Sus scrofa: one gene and its partners. The protein of the gene in region 2 binds, or shares a complex with, the protein of the main gene of each other region. Links are inferred from orthologs where the notes say so. Each region holds a gene or a part of one and is shown on either strand. Other genes may lie near its edges. The genes, in order: SF3B5, SNRPF, PPIL2, CWC27, USP39, GPKOW and TXNL4A.

Region 1 (2,715 bases), on a different chromosome or scaffold from region 2:
TCCACAGCACCCTCCAACATGTGCTTGCTTATGTCTGCAAATTTTGTGGTCTTCTGCTCCCCCAACCAGTGTAATATAGGTCCTTAAAGCCTGCCACATAAAATTCAACACGTATTTGCTGAATGAATTTAAGAACTAATTTGACAGTTTGTCAATACTCAAGATATGTCCACGTATTTCCAAAAGAAAGAGGTGTAATCTACAGAGAGAAGGCAAAGCGAGTCAAGATTTTTTTTTTTTGTATGAAAGAAAAAGGACACAGTGATCACAAACCTCAATAGTGAATGTGTTAAGGGCCTGAGAAAAGTTCCTGGGAGAAGTCAGGGTTGGAGAATATTATAAAGAGCGTATTTAAGTGTCTGGCAACGAACTTTGGCCCTGTGCTACTGTTGAACCCCTCCCCAACCCTTCCCTTCTTTATACCCCCCGCCACCCGGCAAACCACAGTCCCAGAGCCCTCCTTGGCCCCTCCACCAGAACACAAGTAGTCCACACCAAGAGACCGAAACATTTCTAAACTTTATAGAAAAAGCAACGAAGACAGTCAACTAGCCAAAAACGAGCCTCTTAATCCCATCTCACTCCAGCCATATCTCCTCTAACGTCTGCAGACTTTAGGATCTCTCCACTGTTCAGTTTCTCAGGGGTTATGACGGGTCTCCCAACACTTTGTTCCACAGGAAGGCAGGTCGGACGGAACGCCCCGGGTAAGGACCTCTGTACAAAGAAAGCACGAAAAGCAGAGCTATGAAGAATCCGTCCACTTGGGAGAGGAACCCGCGGGAATGACGACAAACCGGAGGAACGCAGAGAGGTGCTCACGTACAGCGGTGAGACGGTGAGGTCTCAGTTCTCCTCCGGTTTGTCGGCGGGCGGGCCGCAAGGCTGCAGCATCTTCTCCATCAAGTTGAAGCGGACTCGCGCTTTGCTCTCATTCTCGGCAATGGCGAAGTAGTTGAGAAGGTCGAAGTGGCCCATGTAGGAGCAATAGGAGTCGCGGTGCTGGTTCACCAGCCACTCCCATTTGGTGGTGTCGGCGTGGCCGGTGCCGATGTATTTGGACTGCAGATGCTCTAACTGGCTGTGGATGGTGTAGCGGTCTGTCATCTCGTTGCTTTTTCCTTTGCTCGCAGGTCAGAAGCCGCAGACGAGAAGAAGCCGCTCTAAGGTTTCAAGCCGGAGAGGAGCCACCCGCCGGAACCTCTGTACACGCGCGGCCGCAGGTGGATGGCGTCACAGCGACAAAGCAGCGCGACTCGCGGTCCCCGGCCTCCCAGGCGGAAGTGTATTCTGTCACGGAATTGGAGTTGCCTCGGCAACGCTACCAGTGGGCCTTCCCTATAGAGAGCCCCGCCTCCTTCGCAGAGCGTTGCATGCTGGTCCATCTAGCGGCCCTTTTCTAACAGGAGCTTTGCATGCTGGGACTTGTGGTTTCCGAGGGTTGGTTCGCAGAGACTTCTTGGGACCTCTGTGTGTGGGTTTGAGAGACTGAATGGACTGCGGTGTTTGGGAGGCAGGAAGCATCCTCGGGCGGATGGGGGGCCGAGAGGAAGTGGGAAACAAGTAGTACAAGGCTGTAAGCAACTGGGGAAAGGAGCTCTTTGTGCAATTCCGCTTTCGGAGCTACAGAGGGTACAGTAGCCGTTTCACAACCAGGGGTGGATCACCCTGAAGTCAGGAAACTCAAGGTCTGACCCCAGCCATGTCTCTTACAAGTTGTGTGGAAACTTCTTTCATCGCTTGCGGGGCCGCCGTTTCCCGCCTAGTGACCTAAGTACAGCACCAGTTCCGACACATTCAGGCCCCCACAACAGGCTCCTCCTTTTGAGCTTCTAATTTTGACATCCTCCCAACAAGTTTCACCCCACCTACAGGCCCTCAGCCTCTACTTCTCAAACGTTCCCGTGCTGCTCTCTCCAGTTCTCTGTACGAGCTGTTCCATCTGCGTGGAATGCTTTTGTTCCCCTGGCAAACACTTCTCCCTTTTAAGTCAGCTCGAAAGTATCTCCCTGAAATTGACTTTGGCTACTCCAGACAGATGTAAATTCTTTTCATCCTGTACATCTCTTTGTTATTATCACTTTATATCCAGTTTTTGGTTTAAGAACTTCCCCACACGAATACAAACTACTTGAGAAAAACTACTTTTTTGATGATGTCTTTTTTTTTTTTTGAGGGTGAGACATCTATCTACTTGATCTATTTGTAGCATGAAATCCACAAAGAAAACCCCAAAATGCGAAGTTCAATAAATTCAAATAGTAATATTTTTAAAAATATTAATGAAAAAGAGATGATGTCTTGTATCATATGCTTCTGTTATGCTAGCCACAGAGCCTCGCAGAGATTGTTTCTCAAAAAACATCTGATGAATGGATTAAAAAAACCTGTATGACGGCCAAATAAATTCTTTACTGGGAGAAAGATAACTTTAAAGTATCTTTATTCTGGTATAAAGTTACGGTTAGATAGGACTAGTAAGTTTAGAGCTCTATAGTTAACTATAGTTAATACTGTATCAATACTAAAAATTGTGAGGAGGTGAATATGTTAATTAGTTTGTGGTACCATTTTATTGTGTATATGTATATCAAATCATGTTGCACCTCTTAAATATATATAATTTTTATTAAAAAATTTTAGTGGTAAAACAGTTCCCTCTGGGATCAAATGCCTGTACCAAAAATTGGAAAAAAAAAAAAAAACTTCCCCCTT
Region 2 (4,093 bases):
CTTCTCTCTTAAGAACTGCTTCTATCAAATTACTTAGATTTGTACATTTAGCATTTATCAAAAGACACGAATTTCACTGGAAAAGGTTCTCTCGGACCAAGTGCTGGGATGTTTTGCTTTCCCCACAAATCAGTATATTTTTCTTATGACATTGTGAATCAAACGCCTGAGCTCTTCTTACTTTTAACCACCTGGGAATCAAATCTGTGGCTGAATTTTTTTTTTTTTTTTGTCTTTTGTCTTTTTGTTGTTGTTGTTGTTGTTGCTATTTCTTGGGCCGCTCCCGCGGCATATGGAGGTTCCCAGGCTAGGGGTTGAATCGGAGCCACAGCCACCGGCCTACGCCAGAGCCACAGCAACGCGGGATCTGAGCCGCGTCTGCAACCTACACCACAGCTCACGGCAACGCCCGATCCTTAACCCACTGAGCAAGGGCAGGGACCGAACCCGCAACCTCATGGTTTCTAGTCGGGCCCGTTAACCACTGCGCCACGACGGGGAACTCCTGTGGCTGAATTTTTAATATGTCTCATACAAAGTTCATCAAATTATAACATCCTCCTTAGCCTTGATTTGACCCCTTAATTTTGCTTTGTTTGTCAATTAATTATATCCCTGTAAGTCACACCAAACCTTTGAGAAGTCACATGAAGAAAAATAAATACAATCTAATGATCTTCATAACTCTTCCACTTACCTGCATATTCATATAGCCATCTACAGACACCAGGTAGCCTTTGTACTCCATTCCCCACTTAAGTTTCACCATCACTGGCTTCCCTGTTAACCCATTGAGGAAAGGTTTGGGATTGAGAGGCAAACTCTGCAAAACAAAAACAAAAAAAGAACCCAACTGAATAAGTTTCTTTAGCTTGGTTTCTATTACCTACTCTTTTCTGCCAAATTACCAATATGCTGTGGTATCCAAATGAAGCAAACTCTTGACTCCATCTCACGTTATTACATAATTTTCACTTTTATTTGTGGAAGAACTTCAAAGAAATATCCAGCCAGTCAATTTCATCAACCCCATCAAGACTTATTCAATGTTCACTTAAGAAACATTCACTCACTGTTCCAAAAATATAATGAAACCAAGGAAAAGGCAATAGAAAAAAAAGAAAAAAAAAAAAAAAGGCAGATGACAGTCCCTGTCCTTAAGAGACCTACAGTGGGAGGGAAGGGTCAAAACATACACGAGTGGGCAATTACTTTGTAATGTAGTAAGAGGAGAATGCTATTACATGATACCAAACAATCCAGTGTTAAGAGAAATGGAAGAGTTGCCTGAAGTAAGTAAATGCCTGTTTTAAAGGATGACAGATATTTCCAGAGGGAAAGAGGCTATTCTAGGCAGAGGAGGCTACCTATGCAAAAGGAGGGAAGAATGACTCGGCAAGGTGATCTCAGGGACATAAAAGTTAGTTTTGTATGAAGTTACTGAAGAGGCAGGGGCAGATCATAATTGAGTCTCTCACTATGAAAAGGTAGGCCTGGATCTTATTTGACTTAGCAGTGACTCCTACATATAGGCAATCAATCACTTAATGTTTGTTTATTCAGCAAATGCAACAGTATCTCCAACGAATTCAGACTTTTCCCCCTTCCTTCATCTGTTGGCCCATCCACCCAAAGAGAGAAAAGAACCAAGAAACTTGGCTACTAAACCCCTCTAGGATAAGCATACTCAGAGTGATCTCAAATAGTTCTATGGTCTTCACTCTTTTCTTTCTCCAATTTATTAGCCACACGGCAAGTATTTTTTATCACATCATATCTCTACCTAAAATGTTTTGATGGCTTTCCAAAGTAGACCCGGGAGTAGAACTCAGACCTCCTAAAACTGCCTAATACTTGCCCAACACTCCATCCTAGCAAGCAGCTGTGGCTTTCTCTCAATTCCTCCAACTGGTCAGGCTTTCTTTCGAGGCTCAGAGTCTATGCTCATGTTTCCTGAGCTTGGTGTATACACTCTTCCGCCTCTTTAAGGGTGTGTATTTCATATCGTTTAAGTTTCAGGTTAAATCCCTTCTCCCAAAGATGCCATCCTTAAACACTTCTAACGTAGCATGGTACCCCCTCATAGCATCCTGTGTGCTTCCTCCTTAGCACTAACTTTATTTGAAATTATGTATTTGTCGTTATTTGATCAATGTCTCTCTCTCTCTCACACCGACTTAAACTGGAGCAGGGGCCACACCAGTACTTCTCGCCCTATAGTCCTAGTTCCTAGAACACACCTGACAGGTAGCAGGAGCTCAGTAAAAATTTGCTAAGAGAACAAATGAATGCTCAAAGCTCGGGCTCAGTATTCCAAAGGGCTGCAGGGCTTCCCAGCATCACCAGACAAAAGCGGATTTTGGAGTGCTGTAAGCTGTACGTGAAAAACCGCTTCATCTTTACTCCAACTCTGTGGTCCCAGGCAGCAAGAGCAGCTCAGGCTCAGATTCAAACGAAGAAGAGGGGGAAGGGGACATTCCTAGGGAGGGGAAGGAGGGCGTGCGTCAGACACCCAGAACTGGCAGAAAGGGGCTGGCCACAGGCTGCGCGGGGCCTCACGCGGATGAATGGGAAACGCGCGAAGGCCCGGCGAAGCTGGTCACCCGCCCTCCCGCCCTCTCTCTCTCTCTCTCTCCCCCACACGGGCGACTCTGACCTTCTCTTTCTCCTTACCATCGCGACTACTGCTGCTGTAGTGGGCAGATGCTGCAGACTACCCGCCGCCGACTCAGCGCCGTCCGGCCCTCGTGGACTGGAGTTGGCTACAGCAACTTCCCAGCCACCAAGCTTCCAGAGAAATGGCCGCCAAATAGCAGCGTGACCTTTCCCCTCCGACTACGGCTCTTCCGGCTTCTGTGATTGGATGCAAAAAGATGCGTGCTGATTGGCGGAAGTGACTGGGGCCTGTCTCCTGGCAACCAGCAGGCTCGAGTTTCCGAGCGCCTTCCCGGCGGGGGCAGGAAATAGGAAACCTTCAGCAGCATGGGTCTGATACCTGCGGCACTGCAAAGGCAGAGAGGTGGCTCGAGTTGCCTGTTTGCTCGCCTGCCTCGAGGGTTTGCTGTCTGTCCTGCAGAATGGACGTGATTTCTCGCCAACTTGGCTGGTGGAGTTTCCTTTGGCTTTGCACACCTGGGAAAACGAGCTCGGGGCTCTCAAGTTTCTTCTTCATTTTCCCACAGATCCTGAGCCATGGGGACTCCTCTGCCACAGTCCCGTTCTACCTGATGGCTCTCTATTCTGTAGTGCTCATTTCACCCCATCTCAGAGGAAGTGGAAGAAGCAAGACTAGATAGACTTAAGGAGGTGAAACGCACCGGAAGAAAGTCAACTGCAGAATATTTTTCAGATGAGGTCAGACAGAGACTAAAATACGGTGTGGTGGCCTCCCGGTCCACCTGTTTCTTGTGCTTTGCGAGCAGAGGCCCACTACAGTCCTCATACTGGATTTATTTTTTTCAAATATATATATATCTAAAACATTTTGGATATAAATTTATATACATGTAATATATATTATAAATAAATTGCATATAAATTCAGTATAGCTGAATTACAACATTGTGCCAGTTTCTGTTGTACAGCAAAATGACACAATCATACACATATATACATTCTTTTAAAAAAATTTTTTTTTCTTTTTTGTTTTTTGTTTTTGCAGCCCTAAGGAGTTGAATTTGAAATTGAAATTTATGGAGTTCCCGTCGTGGCTCAGTGGTTAACAAATCCGACTAGGAACCATGAGGTTGCGGGTTCTATCCCTGGCCTTGCTCAGCGGGTTAAGGAGGTTAAGGGTCCGGCGTTGCCGTGAGCTGTGGTGTAGGTCACAATCCGGCTGCGATCCTACATTGCTGTGGCTGTGGTGTAGGCCGGTAGCAATAGCTCGGATTAGACCCCTAGCCTGGGAACCTCCATATGCTACGGCAGCGGCCCTTGAAAAGACAAAAAGACAAATAAGAAGAAAGAAGAAAAAATTGAGATTTAAATGTTGCGGTATTGTGGAGTAGTGGCTAAGACTTTAGAGGCAGTCTGAGTTTAGAACGTCTATCACGTGGGAATGGTATTGGGCAGTTTCTTAACTCCCGAAGGCGTT
Region 3 (4,246 bases), on a different chromosome or scaffold from region 2:
TAATTGTTAAGGCTCACTGTACCGTGAAGGCATCATTCCTTAATTACACTCACACATACACCAAAGGGGCACAGAAGGATTTCAAACCTTACCTGGTTTCTTGCCACCATAGAAGTGAGTATATTCTGCGCAGGTGATGTACCTGAAAAGAGAGAATCTTACTACCATCCCCTTAATAAGGAAAACAAAGTCTCTGGAAGTAAGGAACTGACAATTGAACCATTTCACTAATTCTTCAAATGCTTATTAAGCACCTACATGCATTAGGCACATGGTGATATACACACAAAAGAACACAGGGACACACAAACCAGCAAGCAAACACAAACCATCCTGCTCTGAAGGAAATGAACTGAATTTAATAGAAGGCTTAATGATGAGAAGCAGCCGGCCAGGTGACAATCTAGGAGAAGACCTTTCCAGGCAGACGGACTAAACAGGCTAATCAAGTACAAAAACGCTGAGAAAGGAAAAGCTGGAGTGTTCCCCAAAATGGGTAAGGTGAAGATGGGTAAAGTGAAGATGAAGTGCACACACAGGGGCTCATGGCCACTGGTGATAGGGCCGAGGGTAATGGTTGCATCACAAGAGGCCCCAAAGGCCACGTGAGGATTCGAGATTTGCTTCAAGTAAGGTGGAGAGCTACTGGAGGATTTTTTTTTTTATTTTTGCTTTTTAGGGACCCATCCACAGCATATGGAAGCTCCCAGGCTAGGAGGTGAATCAGAGCTGTAGCTGCTGGCCTATGCCACAGCAATGTAGAATCTGAGCAGTGTCTGCAACCTATACCACAGCTCACACCAATGCCAGATTCAAGCCGAATCTGCAACATACACCACAGCTCAAGGCAATGCCCGATTCCCCAACCCACTGAGCAAGGCCAGGGATCAAACTCACATCCTCATGGATACTAGTCAGATTCGTTTCCATTGTGCCATAACGGGAGCTCCTGCTGGAGGGTTTTGAACAGTCATTCCCTGACTAGATCGAGAATGTCCTCCAAGATTCACTCTGGTTGCTGGGTGCAGAGGGACAAGCAAGAGGCAGCAGAAAACCAATGAGAGGAGAACTACAAAGGTCTAAGAAGGACATGGCATAAACTCCACCTGTGGGAGGAGTGGTGGATGAGGGGGAACTGATCAGTTCCTGGAAAAGCCAGCAGGACTTACTGGCCAACAGGAGGCAGGGGGAGCTAAGAGAAACTTCTAGCCTTCTGACCCCAGCAAACTGAGCAGTGGTATGACCACTGAGATGGAAAAATTGGGGCAGAGTTCCCTTTGTGGCACAGTGAAAAGGAATCTGACTAGTGTCCATGAGGATTTGGGTTCGATCCCTGGTCTCTCAGTGGGTTAAAGATCCAGCATTGCCATGAGCTGTGGTGTAGGTAGCAGGCGGGGCTCAGATCCCTCATTGCTATGGTTGTGGTGTAGGCCTGTAGTTGTAGCTCTGAGTCAACCCTTAGCCTGGGAACTTCTATATGCTACGAGTGCAGCCCTAAAAAGAAAAAAAAAGAAGAAAGAAAAATTTTAGCAACATGGATGGACCTAGAAATCATCATGTTAAGTGAAGTCAGTCAGACAATGAGACACCAACATCAAATGCTATCAGATATGTGGAATCTGAAAAAAGGACACAATGAACTTCTTTGCAGAACAGATATTGACTCACAAACTTTGAAAAACTTATGGTTTCCAAAGGAGACAGTTTGGGGGGTGGGGGGATGCGCTGGGGGTGTTGGATGGAAATCCTATAAAATCGGATTGTCATGATCATTGTACAACTATAAATGTAATAAATTCATTGAGTAATTTAAAAAAAGAAAAGAAAAAAGAAAGAAAGATGGGGGCAGAGCAGGCTCAGGTGCAACAATCCAGAGCTCCACGTGGGGCATAGTGAATTGGAGATGTCCCTCAGATCTCCAAAAGGAGGTGTCTGGCAAGCAGCTGATCACTGCAAGACTGGTGTGACCACCGCGGAGAAGAGTAAACTGGGAGGGGGGGGGGGGCGGTACAGAACTATGAGGTCCGAGAGAGGGGAGGAGGATCCAACAAAGGAGACGGAGAAAGAGAAGCCCCTGAGGAGTGTATGGTGTCCCAGACACCAGAGAAGGGCTATTCGGCCGTGTCACACGCTGCTGAGAAGCCCAACAAAACGAGGTCTGAAAACTGACTCCCAGATGTAGCCACGCAAAAGTTACTGGATCCCAACAAGAGCAGCGCGGGGGGGTCGAGTGCCTGGCTGTTGTGGTTTCAAAAGGACAGCAAGAAACAGCAGGTAGACACAGGCCTTTCCCATCCTGCCATGAAGAAAATCAAAGAAACTCGATGGCAGCTGGTGGGGCAAGGCTGGTCTGTTTCTAATAGGAGATGCTGGAACTCTCGGGTAGGCTGGGGGGCGTGAACCGCGCGCGGGGTAAGACAGCAGTGGCGGAGCTGAAGGAACGGGGACCCTGGGAAACCCTGAGCCTTACGGGGCCGCCCCGCCGGCGTAGGCCGAAGGCTTCTGGGGAAGCGAAGCTGAGAGGGGTTCGGGGAAAAGGCGCAACGCAGGAACGGCCACAGGCGGGACTGAGGCCAACGGGGCCCGCTCCCGGAGGGGGGCTACTTACATCTTGTCTTTCTGGTGCTGTCGCTTCCCCATGGCGTCGGTGGCAGCGGCGGCGCCGGCAGGACGAGCGAACGTGGCAAAACAACCCCAGACAACTCAGACAGCCGCGTCTCCGAAGAAAAACAATCGCAGACAACTCAGACTCCAGCGTCTCCGTCGACCTCGTAACAACTTCCGGGTCCCTTGGCCCCCCCCCGCCCCGCCCCGCCCCGCCCCGCCCCGGAAGCTGGCGCTGGGTATGCCGGGAACCGTGGTGCCCAGCGCGCGTGCCCGAGGTGGGGGGCGGGGGGCGCTTGGGTGCTGGGGCTTCTGGGCCAGCCCTAGGCAGAGCCACCTTACCCCGAAGGCCCATCTTCCCGGGTGCCTTTCTCTGGACCGTTGCCTATCTGCCCCACAGGGCTTAGACCCACCCTAGTTTGACCTGATTTCTCAGGTCTTTAAAAAGCCCGCCTGGGAGTTCCTGTCGTGGCTCAGCTGAAACGAATTTGACTAGAGGACTCAGGTTCGATCCCCGGCCTCGCTCAGTGGCTTAATGATCCGCTTAACCACCTTGTTGTGAGCTGTGGTGTAGGTCTCAGACGCGGCTCGGATCCTGCGTTGCGGTGGCTATGGCATAGGCCAGCGGCTACAGCTTCAATTCCACCCTTAGCCTGGGAAACTCCATGTGCCACGGGTGCGGCCTTAGGAAAAAAAAAAAGCCCACCTAGCTCAGCGGGTTAGGGATCCCACGTTGCCACAGCTGTGGTGCAGTTTGCACCTAGGGCAGGATTTGATCCCTGGCTTGAGAACTTTACACATTCTGCGATTGTAACAAAAAAGTAAATATAAAGGAAAACTCCCACTAGGCCCCATATCCACTCCTCAACTACCCCCCCCCCGCCCCCCCAAGGCAGACAGCTCAAAAGGGACATCCACACTTTCTGTCCACCCGCTCACTGCCCATACAGTTCCCACTGCCTCCAGGCCCTTCTCCTGGGAGGCCCAGGGGCAGGAGCCATCAAGCCTGAAAGTCCAAAGCCCTGATGATACCTTCTGTCTCTTCAGCCAGACCACCATGTTTGTGTGCCCCAGCCAAGCCCTGGACCTCCCTCTACAGTCAAGCACTGGGTGATCTTGCCCAGATTGATGGCTTTAAACACTGTATCCCTTGATTCCCAAACACTAAATTGCCAGCACTCTTGGGAGTGCCTGTTGTGGCTTAGAGGTAACCCGACTAGTATCCATGAGGACACAGGTTCAATTCCTGTCCTTGCTTGGTGGGTTAAAGGATCTGGTGTTGCTGCTGTATAGGTCACAGACTTGGCTCGGATCCTGAGTTGCTGTGGTTGTGGTGTAGGCTGAGTTCCCATGTTGGATCCCAGCCTCCCTGACTTGACCACCTGACCACCTACTGTGTGCAGGCTCAGACCCATGAGCCTCTGGCTTGCAGTACCCTGACCACTACTTGGGACAGGAGAAAGCCCAAGGGACAGCATGGTCCCTGGGGAGCGAGGCACAAGGAAGGCACCTCCGGGGGGAATTTATTCATTTCTCTGGCCGTGCTTTGCACAAGAGAGGTTACGGGTCCCTCTGGTAGGGCACAGGCTCCACGCTGCCAGGGTCATTCTCTGAGTCATCTTGGGGATGGGGCACAGGCTGG
Region 4 (3,500 bases), on a different chromosome or scaffold from region 2:
ATTTAGCTTTACTAAATTTTAGTTATATTAATCATAGGCTACATAAGTATTTGGAATCATACTAAGGCCAACAAAACAGAGTGGGGTATGGGACTCAAAAAGCACTTAAACATGACAAATATTTGATTCATCTACGGAAAATTCAAAATGTATTTTTTGTCCCATTAAAAATCTAATATTTTAAAAATTGCTTTTAAAAATCAGAAAATACATGTCTTGAATGAGAGAGAGAAAAAAGTATCCTTGATTATGTTCATGATTTGATTAAAAGAGCTAATGAGAAGCCCGTCAACTCCATGTATGTACAAGCATATACATGAGCACTAAAATCTTCAAGCAATAATGGTGCAAAGTTAATCTACTATGTTCAATTACTCAACAGTGATTAACTGAGCATCAGGTGAATGTTGCCAGAAAAAAGATATTTAAGGTAACTTCTAAGTGTCATTTCTGAATGTAAAAGGTTATACTAGGAGTGGAAATTTCTAGGAATTACTCTTATGGTTATATAAAGAAAAAAATTGAGGAAGCTAAGCAATGACAACATGGAAATAAATGATTTTTAAGTTTTTCTGTATGAGGATGAGCAACATAACAGAAAAAAAGAAAGTCGTTTATATGTGGTTATATCTATCTTATCCCCAAATGTAGGCCATTCAAAAGAAAGCAAATACCACTATTGTTTAAAGCAATATTATTTAAAATGTATACCCTAAAGTTCTAATAATAGAATGACAAAGGAGAGTTTTTCAATTAAGCTGAATTTCAGGAGAGTAAAATGTTGAGTAATAAACTTCAACAGCTCTTTATGATCAGACATTTGCTGCAATTTCTTTTATGACACCACTGAGATTAGCAGGTGTAGACAGTATAAATCAGACTTCAACAGATATATAAGAGCATTTTCAGGCCCACACATTTCTTAACTAGTTCTGACAAATTTTACTCACCTAAATCTGATGTCTCTTTTTTCTTCTATACGATTACTTTACAATTCTTGTTGGTTTTAAACAAATAAAACCTTCCACATCTAGCTAATATATTGCTTACCCAAAATATAAAAAAATTTAGAGGCTTTTAAAGAAGACATCAGAGAGAAATAAAGTAAAATTTGACTCATACAGCCTTGGCTGCAAATAAAACTGGTTTATTTTCTTTTAGGCCTCTGAGTGGGTTAATGTAGCACAACTGGTATATATAGCAAACACTATGAAAATAGTATGTTAGAAAGTAAGTTGAACAGAGGACTCAATCGTGATTTAAAATGAAACATAAAAAGACATAAGTTTTGAAACTGAGTACACAACACTTCACTCACCTGCGGCTAACTGATTTCTTTTCCACTTCACCCTCTTCGGAGGTCTTAACATTTGCACTTGTGTCCTTCTTTAACTTTTTTGCAATTCTTTCTCTCATCAGGCTCTTCTCATCACCATCAACGTGTCCATCATACTCTGCACTTTCATATTCTCCATCCTATAAAAATCGAAATGGAGTATTTGCCAGGCATTCCACTTTCTCCTTTCACTTCCAGAGATCCATCTCAGACTCTCCTCATGGCATTCTAGGCAGGTTTTTTGGTTTGGTCTGTTCTGACCTAATAAGGGTTTGAAGAATCTGCTACAGGTGGGACTACCAGTTGAGGTTTGCTCTAGGCCAGCTACGTTAAGTACACCATAGCCCATACGGGTTGTTGCTCAATCCACACCCAGCCCCAGTGCACAGCAGATTGTGCCCCCTCTGGATCACCCAGGATATTGTGTCCATCTACAACCCTATTCCTTCCCAGTGGGAAACATGGTTTCTAGAAGCTGATGGCCAGCCTACTGACCTCACACAAGGATTAATGCAAGTAAAAGAAGTGGAGGTAAAGAAGCTCATATTTCTTCCTATAATCTAAGCCATAGCAATCACTCCTCTTCTCAAAACCCTCCAATGGGTCTCCAACTCACTTAAGACCCTACACAACCTGTACCTCCCTGACATAATCTCCCACAACTCCAGGCCAGCAACACTAGCCAACTTTGTAGGTGCTGATCTCTCTAACCTGAAATGCTCTTATTTGAAGTATCTGCATTGCTAGCTTTCATCTCCTTCAGGCCTCTCCTCAAATGTTAGCCTCTCAGTGATTACTTCTCTTGACCAACGTAATACAATGGCAGAACCATCCACCCACCTCCAGTACTCTCTATTCCCCTTCTCTGTCCCCCCACTGAAACATTCATCACTCATCTGACGCAATACATATTTCAATTATTTATTTGATTACTGTCTCTCTCCCATAATTAAAGGAAGCACTCCATGTGAGCTAGAATTTTGGACTATTTTGCTTACTGCTGTATCTTCAAATTTCCAGAATAGCACCCAGCATTAACAGGGAGAGGAGTAGAGGCAGAAATGAAGAAAGAGGGAGGGAAAAGAATAGAGAAGAAGGAAGAAACCACCTGAGAATCTTTGTCTTGTGATTCGCCAACTAAGTGAGTCTTGATGAGGCAGGATTCTTAACTCGAGGTTTGTGGCCCCTAGTGCAGTGGTCCTTGAAGTCTAGTCCTCAGGCTATAAGGCAGGGATTGTTAAAAAATGTAAAATCCTAGCCCTTATATCAGTCTTATTGAACCAATTCTCTAGGGATAGAAATTTTGAGTGTTTTCAGTGAGACATGTAAGAAATTCTTTAGCCTTGAAACTTTATAACCACTGACTAGGTCTTCCATTCTTGGTCCTCAGGAGATCTAAAAAAAAATAAATTCCCTACAAATTCATAAAATTTTGTTTGCAAATGTAGTATATTTCCTGAGAAGAAGGTCCACAGTATTAGACATTGCAAAGGGTCCTGGGAGACAAAAGAGATTAAAGAGCATACACTATCCTTAGATGACCTCATCCCTGCCAAGACCATAAGAACATAATGATAATTTTACATTAGGCCTTGATCCTATCTACCAGACCCATGATGTTACACAGATGTCTCCAAGTTTTCTGAATCTTAAGATGCACAAAATCAAGCACACTACTTTTCTTTTTTCTCCCCACCTTTCTCTTGTACCCATCTAACAAACTGCCCAAATCAGAAATCTTGTCATTGTCCTAGACCCCTCTTTCCCCTTTGCCTCACAGTATGGAATCAGTCACCTCTTAGATTTCTTTCAAGTCTCTCTCTCTCCCATCTCACAGCTGTGGTCTTCTATCAAGCTCTCCTCCTGCTATAGCTTCCTGATAGGTCTCCTTGACTCTAGCTTATCTCTTCTAATTCATCCTCTGATATTGCCAACAATGATCTTCCTCAAATGCAAAGTTGATGACAGCACTTTTTTTTTTTTTTTTAAACTAATACTCTTCAACTGTTCTTCATTCCTTTTAGGATGAAATTCAAACTGCTCACCTTAGCCTATGAAGCTCTGTAAAATGTGGCTTCTCCTTACCTTTGCAACCTTGCTCAGCTCTCCCTCCTGTCACTACACTCCTCAGACTGGTCTGCGTTCAGCTTCTGGAACATAACAA
Region 5 (3,500 bases), on a different chromosome or scaffold from region 2:
GCTCTGGTGTGCATGGGCTGAAGATACCTGTAGAGGTGGCAGGACCATTTGGCAGAAAGGGAGCCAGGCCATAATCCCACATCCAGAAACCAACACCCCCGGAACAAAGGAAGAGGAAAACTGCAATCGGGCTCCAAAATTATCCACAGTCTCTAAGCAAGAGTTATTTTCAGCACCCCTGAGAAATGGCTAACTACTGCTAAGCCAGCATGGATGCTAAGAGACCTGGGACTCGAGGTTTGAGAGTCTACAGAGACGCCAGCCTCACCTCTCCAAGCACAGGCTCAGGGCGAAGACCTAGCTTTTAGTATGCTTTACCAAATCACGAGCCAGGCAAACCACCCTCCAAGTCTTCACTGTGGCACCACATGTCTACCACATGCTGCTGAGTTCTCAGTTTGAAACCAGGTCAGGATTTCAACGGCACAATTATATCCATTTCCACTTGTTAAAAATGCCATTGGGGGAGTTCCCATCATGGCGCAGTGGTTAACAAATCCAATTAGGGACCATAAGGTTGCAGGTTCGATCCCTGGCCTTGCTCAGTGGGTTAAGGATCCAGCGTTGCAATGAGCTGTGGTTGGTGTAGGTTGCAGACACAGCTCGGGTAGGCCGGCGGCTACAGCTCCAATTGGACCCCTAGCCTGGGAACCTCCATATGCCACAGAATCAGCCCTAGAAAAGGCAAAAAGACAAACAAACAAACAAACAAAAATGCCATTGGGGTAGTTTCCGCTGTGGTGCAGCAGGTTAAGAATCCGGCATTGTCTCTGAGGTCAAGAGGGTTTGATCCCCAGTCCTGCACAGTGGTTTAAGGATCCTGCATTGCCACAACTATGGCATAGGTTGTGGCTACAGCTCAGATTCGATCTCAATCCCTGGCCTGGAAACTTCCATATGCTGTGGATGAGGCCAAAAAAGAAAAAAGGAAAAAAATTGCCACTGGCTATACACATCTCCTAATAAAGAAAAACAGAAAAGAACCCATTCAGGAACAAGGTCTGGCCCACATGTGCAGAGACACCCCCCAACCCAAAAAGATAAACAGGTAAGAAAAGGCTGGGAAGCTGCAAAATGTTTTTGAAAGGAAGCAGGCAAAATAGAGCTCCTTTTACAAAATAACATGACTTACTCTTCTTCTTCTTCTTTGTGCCCCCCAGCGCTGAGTGTAAAGCATTCAAAAACCAGGACAGAAAGTCAACTCCATCCCCTGGAAAAGAAGGAAGGTAGGATGTTGTAGCTGGGAGACAGTGTAATCCAAACCACGTGCTGGCTGGCGGGACTTCACATTCCTGCTCTTCCTCCTTCCTCTCTCGCCACCCTATCCCATCCCCTGGCATCCTCCTCTATCTGGCCACCCACTACATGCTGGCACTCCTGACGGACAAGCTCTTAGTCTTCTTTTTTTTTTTTTATGGCCTCACAGTGGCATATGGAAGTTCTGGGAGCTAGGGCTCAAATCAGAGCTGCAGCTGCCGGCCGACACCATAGCTCACAGCAGCACCTGATTCTAAACCCACTGAGCTAGACCAAGGATTGAACCTGAATCCTCATGGATACTAATCCGGTTCATAACCCACTGGGCCACAACAGTAACTCCCTTAAGTCTTCTTATCTTAACTCACCCCCAGGCTCTTTGATCTAAAGAGTACCTTTGATCACTATCTCTCTTCCAAACGTGAGTCTCATCACCCATCAAAAGCCATTACTAAACTTCCCCTCTAAGTCACTCCTCAGCCGGAATGTTTTTAAAACAAAAATGTGACGGCACCTCTCTGCTTAAAAGCCTTCACTGATTCCCCAAACTCCTTATACCGGCACATAAACCCGACAATGTGGTCCTTCTCTTCCAACCTCCACCTCGGCACTCGGTGCTGGTCCAAGGTCCAGCCACGTGCAGTCCTCTCTTTGTGCCAGGCACCTCCACGCTCCTGTCCAGTGTCCTCTCTACCTGGAATGCCCACCCCCAACCAACTCCCCTCTACCTAAAACTCAGGTGTCTCTTCCTTCATGCTGACCCCCAGCCCAGCTCCCTCCCAGAGCATAGTGTACTTCCTCCATCACAGCACTTAACACCCTGTAATCATCTTTCTACATAAGCAAGTTCCCCACTAGTTTGGGAGCTCCTGGAAGAGAAAAGCTGTGTTTCTGATCCCTGCAGCTCTAAAACCTAGCACCACAAGTGATTGGTGAATCAACCGATCTAGAGAATACTACAGTAGATTCAGGTGCTAAGTGCTATTCATGTAGCAGTAACTTGGTTTGGAAGGATGAAAACTACCCAAATAATTCATTAGAATATCCTGCTCTGCAACATGACAAAATGAGAAGCAAAAGTGGCAGCTGCCTGGTAAGGGTTGGTGCCTTCCCCAGCTTTCTGATTCTCCCCTGAGCTGTAAAACTTAGTTCACCAAATCAGACAGACTTTCTATCCTGCTGAAATCTCTTGGGTCTCTGAGCAGGGCTGGCTGATGAAGGAAGAGTGAGGAACCTAACCACGCCACCCACTGGACACTCACTCCAGCTACTGTAAGGTTTGCTGCAAAGTGGAAGTCAATGTGCTCATGAGACTAGCTCTGTGGCCCTAAAGTCAGAAAACATGAATTACTCCTTCCTTACCCTGCTTGGTGATCTGAAAAGTCTTCTTGCTGCAAAGGACAACAGCCTGAAGCATCTCATGGGGAGAGACATGTGCCTTGAAATTTCGAGGGTTCCAGAGTTTTCTCATCAGCTCTCCAAAACGCTGGACCAACAAGAACATGATATCCCCAGGAGGACGCTTGATGTTCTTATAATTGTCTTCTTCCAGGAAGTAGTTCCGGAGAGGAGGAACATTAGACAGAGCCTAGGAGTCAAACACTCGGATTAAACCATAGCCCTTCTGCAGAAGTAAATGGACTCCTGGAGAATCCCCCAGAGTTCACATTAGAGAAATTATCAGCTTACATTGATTTTCATGGCAAGTCCAGCTCTGCAGACATTTTGCTGATGTGGATATGATGAAGGGGTTTTAAAATACAGGCATTCAAAAGTTCCCATTGTGGTTGATTGGTTAAGAACACAACTAGTATCCAGGAGGATGTGGGTTCAATCCCTGGCCTTGCTCAGTGGGTTAAGGATCTGGGGTTGCCACAAGCTGTGATGCAGTTCGCAGATGCAGCTCAGATCCAGTGTTGCTATGGCATAGGCTGGTGGCTGCGGCTCCAACTCAACCCCTAGCCTGGGAACTTTCATATGCCAGCCCTAAAAAGATGGAACAAAAAGAAAAGAAAAGGTATTCAAATCCCTATCAACTGGCCAACTTATTTAATAGTTTCCTGTGTTTATCAGGCCTGTGACTATGTTTGGATTCACAAGGAACTGAAGGCTAGAAACACAAATACTATTTCTTCATCACGTACTTGGCTGGGGCAGAGATAACCATCTGGAGACCATAGTTCCCCCCTCTCTCAACTGCACATTAAAACAATATGGGAGAAGCTCCCTTGTAGCACAGCAGA
Region 6 (2,537 bases), on a different chromosome or scaffold from region 2:
GGAGGTTCCCAGTCTTGGGGTCGAATCGGAGTTATAGCTGCTGGCCAGCTAGGATCCGAACCACATCTGCGACCTACACCACAGCTCACAGAAATGCGGGATCCTTAACCCAACTGAGCGAGGCCAGGGATCGAACCTGTGTCCTCATGGATGCTCGTCGGATTTCGTTTCTGCTGAGCCAAGACAGGAACTCCAGGAAGGATGTTCTTGAACATGCTGATAGGGTGGGACTTGGGCAGTGGTCGAGGGTAGGGGTGGGAAACAGGGCATTGAAGACTGATGCATCTCCCCCTCCAACAAGCCCATATTCTGTGCTCCCTGCAGAGTGGTGAAGCCCCGTGTCAACTCACTGAGGCCCAAGGGGTTAGGGCTGGGTGCCAACCTGACTGAGGTCCAGGCCCTGGCCCCCTCCAGCCCCCACCGCCTGCCAAGGCCAGATGAGGAACGAGAGAAAGATAAGGAAGACCAGCCTCGAGGACTGGTGCCTGGAGGAGCTGTGGTGGTTCTTTCTGGCCCTCATCGAGGCCTTTATGGAAAGGTAAAGAACCTGCGTTCCCACTGTGGCTCAGCAGGTTAAGAACCGGACATAGTGTCCGTGACGATGGGGGTGCAATCGCAGCCTCACTCAGTGGGTCAAAGATCCAGCATTGCCCCACGCTGCAGTGTAGGTCACAGACGTGGCTCGGATCTGGCGTGGCTGTGGCTGTGGCAAAGGCCGGCAGCTACAGCTCCAATTGGACCCCTAGCCTGGGAACTTCCATATGCCGCGGGTGGGGCATTAAAAAGAAAAAAGGTAAGGAACCAAGATGTGCGTGGAGCCCAAGACAGGCAGAGGAAAGACTTTTGTGACCATCAGCGGGAGGAAGAATTGGGTTTAGGGTAGAAAGGCCGGAAGTCCTTGTCTTTCAGGCCTGCCTGATCCTCCTCCTCACTCAGTTACTCAGGACTGCTCGCTGGGCCATTCTGAGCCTCAGTTTCTAGCTAAAACGGAGAGGGAGTTTCCATCGTGGCGCAGTGGAAACGAATCCAACTGGGAACCATGAGGAACCATGAGGTTGCGGGTTCAATCCCTGGCCTTGCTCAGTGGGGTCAGGATCCGGCATTGCTGTGGCTGTGGTGTAGGCCGGCAGCTACAGCTCCCGTTAGACCCCTAGGCTAGGAACCTCCATATGCCACGGGTGTGGCCCTAAAAAGACAAAAAAGACAAAACAAACAAACAAAGAAAAACAGTCAATTGCTAACTAAAACGGAGAGAATGCCATCCATCACAAGTCCCTGAGGATTAGCTACTTAAAATATATCCACGCTTCACGGTCTGCTGGGGGAGACACAGGGGTCAGGCCTCTTGGAGGTTAAGGGTAGACAGCTTGGTCCTAGGAACGTGGGCCAAGACCACTCAACCCCTGCCTCGCTTCTCTCCCGCAACACTTTAGATAGAAGGCCTTGATCCTGACAATGTTCGGGCCATGGTCCGCCTGGCTGTGGGGAGCCGCATGGTGACTGTTAGTGAGTACTGCCTGCGGCCTGTCTCCCAGCAGGAGTTTGACAAGAACTCCTTGGATCTTGGTGAGTGAGCCTCTTACTCAGTGGGGCGGGGGAGCTGGAGAAGCCTTCCGGCAGTGGGGGAGTGGTAAGGCCTGTCTTGGGGGTGGAGATGATATCTGCAGAGGGCCCAGGGACAGTGGTCTCCTGAGCAAGGGTGAGAGATCCGAGGTCAGAGATCATCAGCCCAGAGATCCGAGGTGAGACTGAACACAGTGGCTTATTCAATGTGATTGAAGAGAGAGGTTGATCTAGTAACCCTGGGTCTTTAGCCTCTTTCTTTCTTTCTTTTTTTTTTTTCCCCTTAGCTTCTTTCTGAGGAGGAAGGAACAGGTGTGGAAACCAATTCCTACCCTTGGGAGGTCTTTGTCTCTTTGGGGTGGTGAACCTCTCTTTTGCTGGAGATTGAGAGCATCTAGGACTAGGGCCCAGCGGGCAGGAAGGCATTCCAGGCCTGGCGGCAGGGTGGGTCAGCTGGGCACATTGGGAGAGGGGTGCCGAACAGCTCTCCAGGACTCCCTCTTCCACTCCCAGCAGGTGGCTCAGAGACGCGCTTTCAGGCTTAGCTGGGGTGGTTGAGGAAAGCTTCCCGAAAGACGCGGGGACTGTTCAGAGGAAGGGGAGAGCATTGTGATAACCCAGGCGAAGGCTTTGGGGTGAGAGAGGGCACTTTGGCTGGAAGCTGAGGCGTGGCCTAGAAGGACAGCGAGGGAGACACACGAGGCTCTTTCCTGGTTCTCCTCCCACACCCCTTTGAACAGGCCAGGTGAGCCAAACTTCCCCGGAGCGGCAGAACGGAACAGCTTCCTCCTGGAAGGCCCTGCGGGATCAGGACCTCCACGTCCGGCGGGAGGACTCAGAGAGGAAGCGGAAACACCTTCCAGACCGGTGGGACCCTGCGTATCTCGGGTGGGAGCCGGGGGCAGGGCTATGGGGAGGCTCCAGCAGTCAGAGAAGGCTTCCAGGGCAAGGCAAGGCAGATGTCTGGAAGGAAC
Region 7 (3,224 bases), on a different chromosome or scaffold from region 2:
CACATGCAGTGAGAAGCAGGATCTAAGGCGGCACCCATATTCCCACCTGGAGGACTTTTGGAGAACTTTGAGAAGCATAACAGAAAAGGCCTGGATTGCCTTAAATAGCCTGTTAGTAGAAATATGGACTTGCAAGGAGTTAGGGACATGTTCCAGGGAGTGGAGGAAAGGGATCTTTGCTACACAGTGGCAGAATGTCTGTGACACTTGTAAGCGATGCATGTGGATAAGAGCTGAGAACACAGAAGTAAAGTCTTGAAGGCACTGCCTGGTTTCCTAGGCCTTATAGTAAAAGAAGAGAGAAACTGGTTGTAAAAACTGTCAACAACAACAACAACAAATTCTCAGCCTCTCCAAATAGCAAAAGATGCTGAAATCCAGAAATGGGTGCTGAACTCTTGACACAGAAGCCACATAACCTACTGAAACCTGGAAAAGACCTAAAGGTCAGAATGTTCAAAGGACAGGATCTTCTCCCAGGAAGCAACCAGCAAGCTCTGGCACCCAGGACAGACTCTACCTGCTCAGGCCGAGGGGAAGCACTACAACTTCATGCTGCTGGCAGGAAGCAGGCTGAAAAATAAGCCAGCTGAAATGCCATTCATGAAAAAGGCAGAAAAGGCTGGGGAGAACCCTCCCGAGGGCAGGCATTGGACCAAGAGGATGATCCTAGCCCTGCATCAAAGCCCTGCTCCTGGTGAACCCAGACTGTTCCCTATGCCTGTCCCACACTGTATCCTGGGGAGGGGCCACAGAGAAAGAGTGTCCAGGAGCTGGGCTTAATGGGTCACCCAGAGAAGCCTCATCCACACTCAGTTTTGCATACGAGAGGGATCTGAATCTTTGTGAGCCAAAGGGCAGACTGCAGTAGGCAGAATCCTAAAATAACCTCTGCTATTTCCTGCTCTAATCCTCAGGACTATGAGATGACATCATGCCTCCGATCAGTTACACTGCACTTCAAAGGGAATTCTGCAGGTATCCCTACAAGTACCCACCAGTTGACTTTAAAATAAGGAGATGCCCCAGAATTATACAGTCTAATCCATCAAGTGTGCCCTCTGAAAGCAGAACAGGAAGTTAGAGCAACTGTGTAAAAATGACTCAACTCTTGGTTGAGGGCTTCAAAGCTGGAGGGGCCTCTAGGAGCACAGAGGGGCCCAGGTGGAAAGACACCTCATTCCCATGTCCACCCAGAACTGGAAACTGGATTCAGCCAATAGTCCCCAAGAGCCAAGTAGATTCCCCCCTGACTGACTGCCTGGCTAAAAGCCCAGCCTGTGACTATGGCCTTGAGACCCCAAGACAGAACCCAGTGAGCCTGCCTGGACTGTGACCTACAGACCTTGGGCTCATAAATGGTGTTGTTTTCAGCCACCAAGTTTGGGCACACTGTCAAACAGAACAGAAAGCTAATCTACACCCTATATACTCTACCCAGAACTTCTCTAATTGTGAAGCTCTACCTCTGGAGTATGGCCTAATGTTTATGTTGCTATTTACTAACTTTTGTAGTAACAATAAACTAAGAATTTTTTTTCTTTTTAGGGCCACCCCCTAGACATATGGAAGTTCCCAGGCTAGGGATCGAATTGGAGCTACAGTTGCTGGCGTACACCACCATAGCCATAGCAACGCAGGATTCCAGCTGCATCTGTGACCTACACTACAGCTCACGGCAATGCCAGATCCCTGACCCACTGAGTGAGGCCAGGGATTGAACCCGCATCCTCATGTAAACTAGTCAGATTCATTTCTGCTAAGCCACAATGGGTACTCCAACAGTAAGAAATTTTGACAAGTAAAAACTGTGAAATGGTGATTCTTTCCAAATTAAATGTCCACAAGAGAATTTTTTTTCACTTGTGATGCTACTTAACTTTATAAACCCCAATCAAACGTATTTGCATCTGCATTGGACACCCATGTACCTAACCAGTAGCCACTCTATGTTCTCCTTTCATGCAAAGTTTGTAAATCATGGATACAAATTAATTTAAGGCGATTAGGGAAATTCTATTCCTTGAGTCAGTAACTGACTGATTAAAGTCCACAAAAGAGTTTTTGTCTTGTTTTGTTTTTAGGGCTGCACCCACAGCACATGGAAGTTCCCAGGCCAGGGACAGAACTGGAGCTACAGTGAGGTCAGGGATAGAACTGGAGCTACAGCTACTGGCCTATGCCGCAGCCACAAGCAGTGCCAGATCCAAGTCACGTCCGTGACCTATACCACAGCTCATGGCAACGCCAGATGTTTACCCCAATGAGTTGGGCCACGGACTGAACTTGCAGTTGGGTTCATTACTACTGGGCCACAAAAGGAACTCCAGCAACAGAATTTTTCAGCTGATAAAATAATCTTGTATTTCTAAGCAAAGTAATTAAGTAAAGGTTTTCCTTCTGGCTATCACAAAAGGACACTAAATAAAGTCATTGATATCATATTTAAAAAGTCAGTTATTTTAAACATTTTTTCATCAACATATTATACTTAAAGGTATCTGAAATGTCAATAAGAACATCTTCCACTTAATTACACTTCATTTAGTTTTCTGGGCAGTTATTTCAAAAGGGTAATGTGTTACTGTAAATGCTAAATCTGTAATTGCTACTTTGAAAATTATTTAAAAGATCACACTGATTGCCTGGTGACACAAACCATATTATGATATGAGTGCATAACTGACCTCCTCCTAAAGAAAAGAATCTAAAGATATCTTGATTACATTAAACTTCCAGACCATCTATTCAATTTAAATAACAACTTTAAGAGAACATACCTGAAGAAAAACATGACAGTACACGGATCATATAATTCATACATTTTGTTGAAGTCAGGTACTTCTGTGATATCCACAAGATAAATAACTGCAAAATTTTTAACCTAAAAGGAAAAGAGGTTGGGGAGAAAAAAAAACAAAATGTAAAATGACAAATCATTTTTTATTCCATAAAAGCACATTTAAAAACAAAAACAAAAAGAATTTGTGTATAGGGAGTTCCCGTCGTGGCGCAGTGGTTAACGAATCCGACTAGGAACCATGAGGATGCGGGTTCGGTCCCTGCCCTTGCTCAGTGGGTTAACGATCCGGCGTTGCCGTGAGCTGTGGTGTAGGTTGCAGACGTGGCTCAGATCCCGCGTTGCTGTGGCTCTGGCGTAGGCCGGTGGCTACAGCTCCGATTCAACCCCTAGCCTGGGAACCTCCATATGCCGCGGGAGCGGC

The links.
Region 1: SNRPF (region 2) and SF3B5 share a complex: the UniProt entries of both Homo sapiens proteins name them as parts of the minor spliceosome. The link is inferred for Sus scrofa from reciprocal best matches to the Homo sapiens genes SNRPF and SF3B5.
Region 3: SNRPF (region 2) and PPIL2 share a complex: the UniProt entries of both Homo sapiens proteins name them as parts of the minor spliceosome. The link is inferred for Sus scrofa from reciprocal best matches to the Homo sapiens genes SNRPF and PPIL2.
Region 4: SNRPF (region 2) and CWC27 share a complex: the UniProt entries of both Homo sapiens proteins name them as parts of the minor spliceosome. The link is inferred for Sus scrofa from reciprocal best matches to the Homo sapiens genes SNRPF and CWC27.
Region 5: SNRPF (region 2) and USP39 share a complex: the UniProt entries of both Homo sapiens proteins name them as parts of the U4/U6-U5 tri-snRNP complex. The link is inferred for Sus scrofa from reciprocal best matches to the Homo sapiens genes SNRPF and USP39.
Region 6: SNRPF (region 2) and GPKOW share a complex: the UniProt entries of both Homo sapiens proteins name them as parts of the minor spliceosome. The link is inferred for Sus scrofa from reciprocal best matches to the Homo sapiens genes SNRPF and GPKOW.
Region 7: SNRPF (region 2) and TXNL4A share a complex: the UniProt entries of both Homo sapiens proteins name them as parts of the U4/U6-U5 tri-snRNP complex. The link is inferred for Sus scrofa from reciprocal best matches to the Homo sapiens genes SNRPF and TXNL4A.

The regions. Positions count from the first base shown.
Region 1 is NC_010443.5:21,229,800-21,232,514, reverse strand, and holds SF3B5 (splicing factor 3B subunit 5), read right to left. Parts: upstream 1,252-2,715; 5' UTR 1,108-1,251; coding exon 847-1,107; 3' UTR 827-846; intron 718-826; 3' UTR 501-717; downstream 1-500. UniProt on the Homo sapiens protein: Component of the 17S U2 SnRNP complex of the spliceosome, a large ribonucleoprotein complex that removes introns from transcribed pre-mRNAs.
Region 2 is NC_010447.5:87,620,064-87,624,156, forward strand, and holds the start of SNRPF (small nuclear ribonucleoprotein F), read right to left. Parts: upstream 2,801-4,093; 5' UTR 2,677-2,800; coding exon 2,674-2,676; intron 824-2,673; coding exon 698-823; intron 1-697. UniProt on the Homo sapiens protein: Plays a role in pre-mRNA splicing as a core component of the spliceosomal U1, U2, U4 and U5 small nuclear ribonucleoproteins (snRNPs), the building blocks of the spliceosome.
Region 3 is NC_010456.5:50,230,043-50,234,288, forward strand, and holds the start of PPIL2 (peptidyl-prolyl cis-trans isomerase-like 2), read right to left. Parts: upstream 2,801-4,246; 5' UTR 2,641-2,800; coding exon 2,609-2,640; intron 143-2,608; coding exon 93-142; intron 1-92. Other genes in the region: verprolin, read right to left, coding at 4,165-4,246. UniProt on the Homo sapiens protein: Has a ubiquitin-protein ligase activity acting as an E3 ubiquitin protein ligase or as an ubiquitin-ubiquitin ligase promoting elongation of ubiquitin chains on substrates.
Region 4 is NC_010458.4:43,384,464-43,387,963, reverse strand, and holds part of CWC27 (peptidyl-prolyl cis-trans isomerase CWC27 homolog), read right to left. Parts: intron 1,477-3,500; coding exon 1,319-1,476; intron 1-1,318. UniProt on the Homo sapiens protein: As part of the spliceosome, plays a role in pre-mRNA splicing. Probable inactive PPIase with no peptidyl-prolyl cis-trans isomerase activity. As a component of the minor spliceosome, involved in the splicing of U12-type introns in pre-mRNAs.
Region 5 is NC_010445.4:59,136,098-59,139,597, forward strand, and holds part of USP39 (U4/U6.U5 tri-snRNP-associated protein 2), read right to left. Parts: intron 2,846-3,500; coding exon 2,620-2,845; intron 1,211-2,619; coding exon 1,133-1,210; intron 1-1,132.
Region 6 is NC_010461.5:43,179,302-43,181,838, reverse strand, and holds part of GPKOW (G patch domain and KOW motifs-containing protein), read left to right. Parts: intron 1-324; coding exon 325-538; intron 539-1,433; coding exon 1,434-1,566; intron 1,567-2,303; coding exon 2,304-2,430; intron 2,431-2,537. UniProt on the Homo sapiens protein: RNA-binding protein involved in pre-mRNA splicing. As a component of the minor spliceosome, involved in the splicing of U12-type introns in pre-mRNAs.
Region 7 is NC_010448.4:127,977,889-127,981,112, forward strand, and holds part of TXNL4A (thioredoxin-like protein 4A), read right to left. Parts: intron 2,885-3,224; coding exon 2,781-2,884; intron 1-2,780. UniProt on the Homo sapiens protein: Plays a role in pre-mRNA splicing as component of the U5 snRNP and U4/U6-U5 tri-snRNP complexes that are involved in spliceosome assembly, and as component of the precatalytic spliceosome (spliceosome B complex).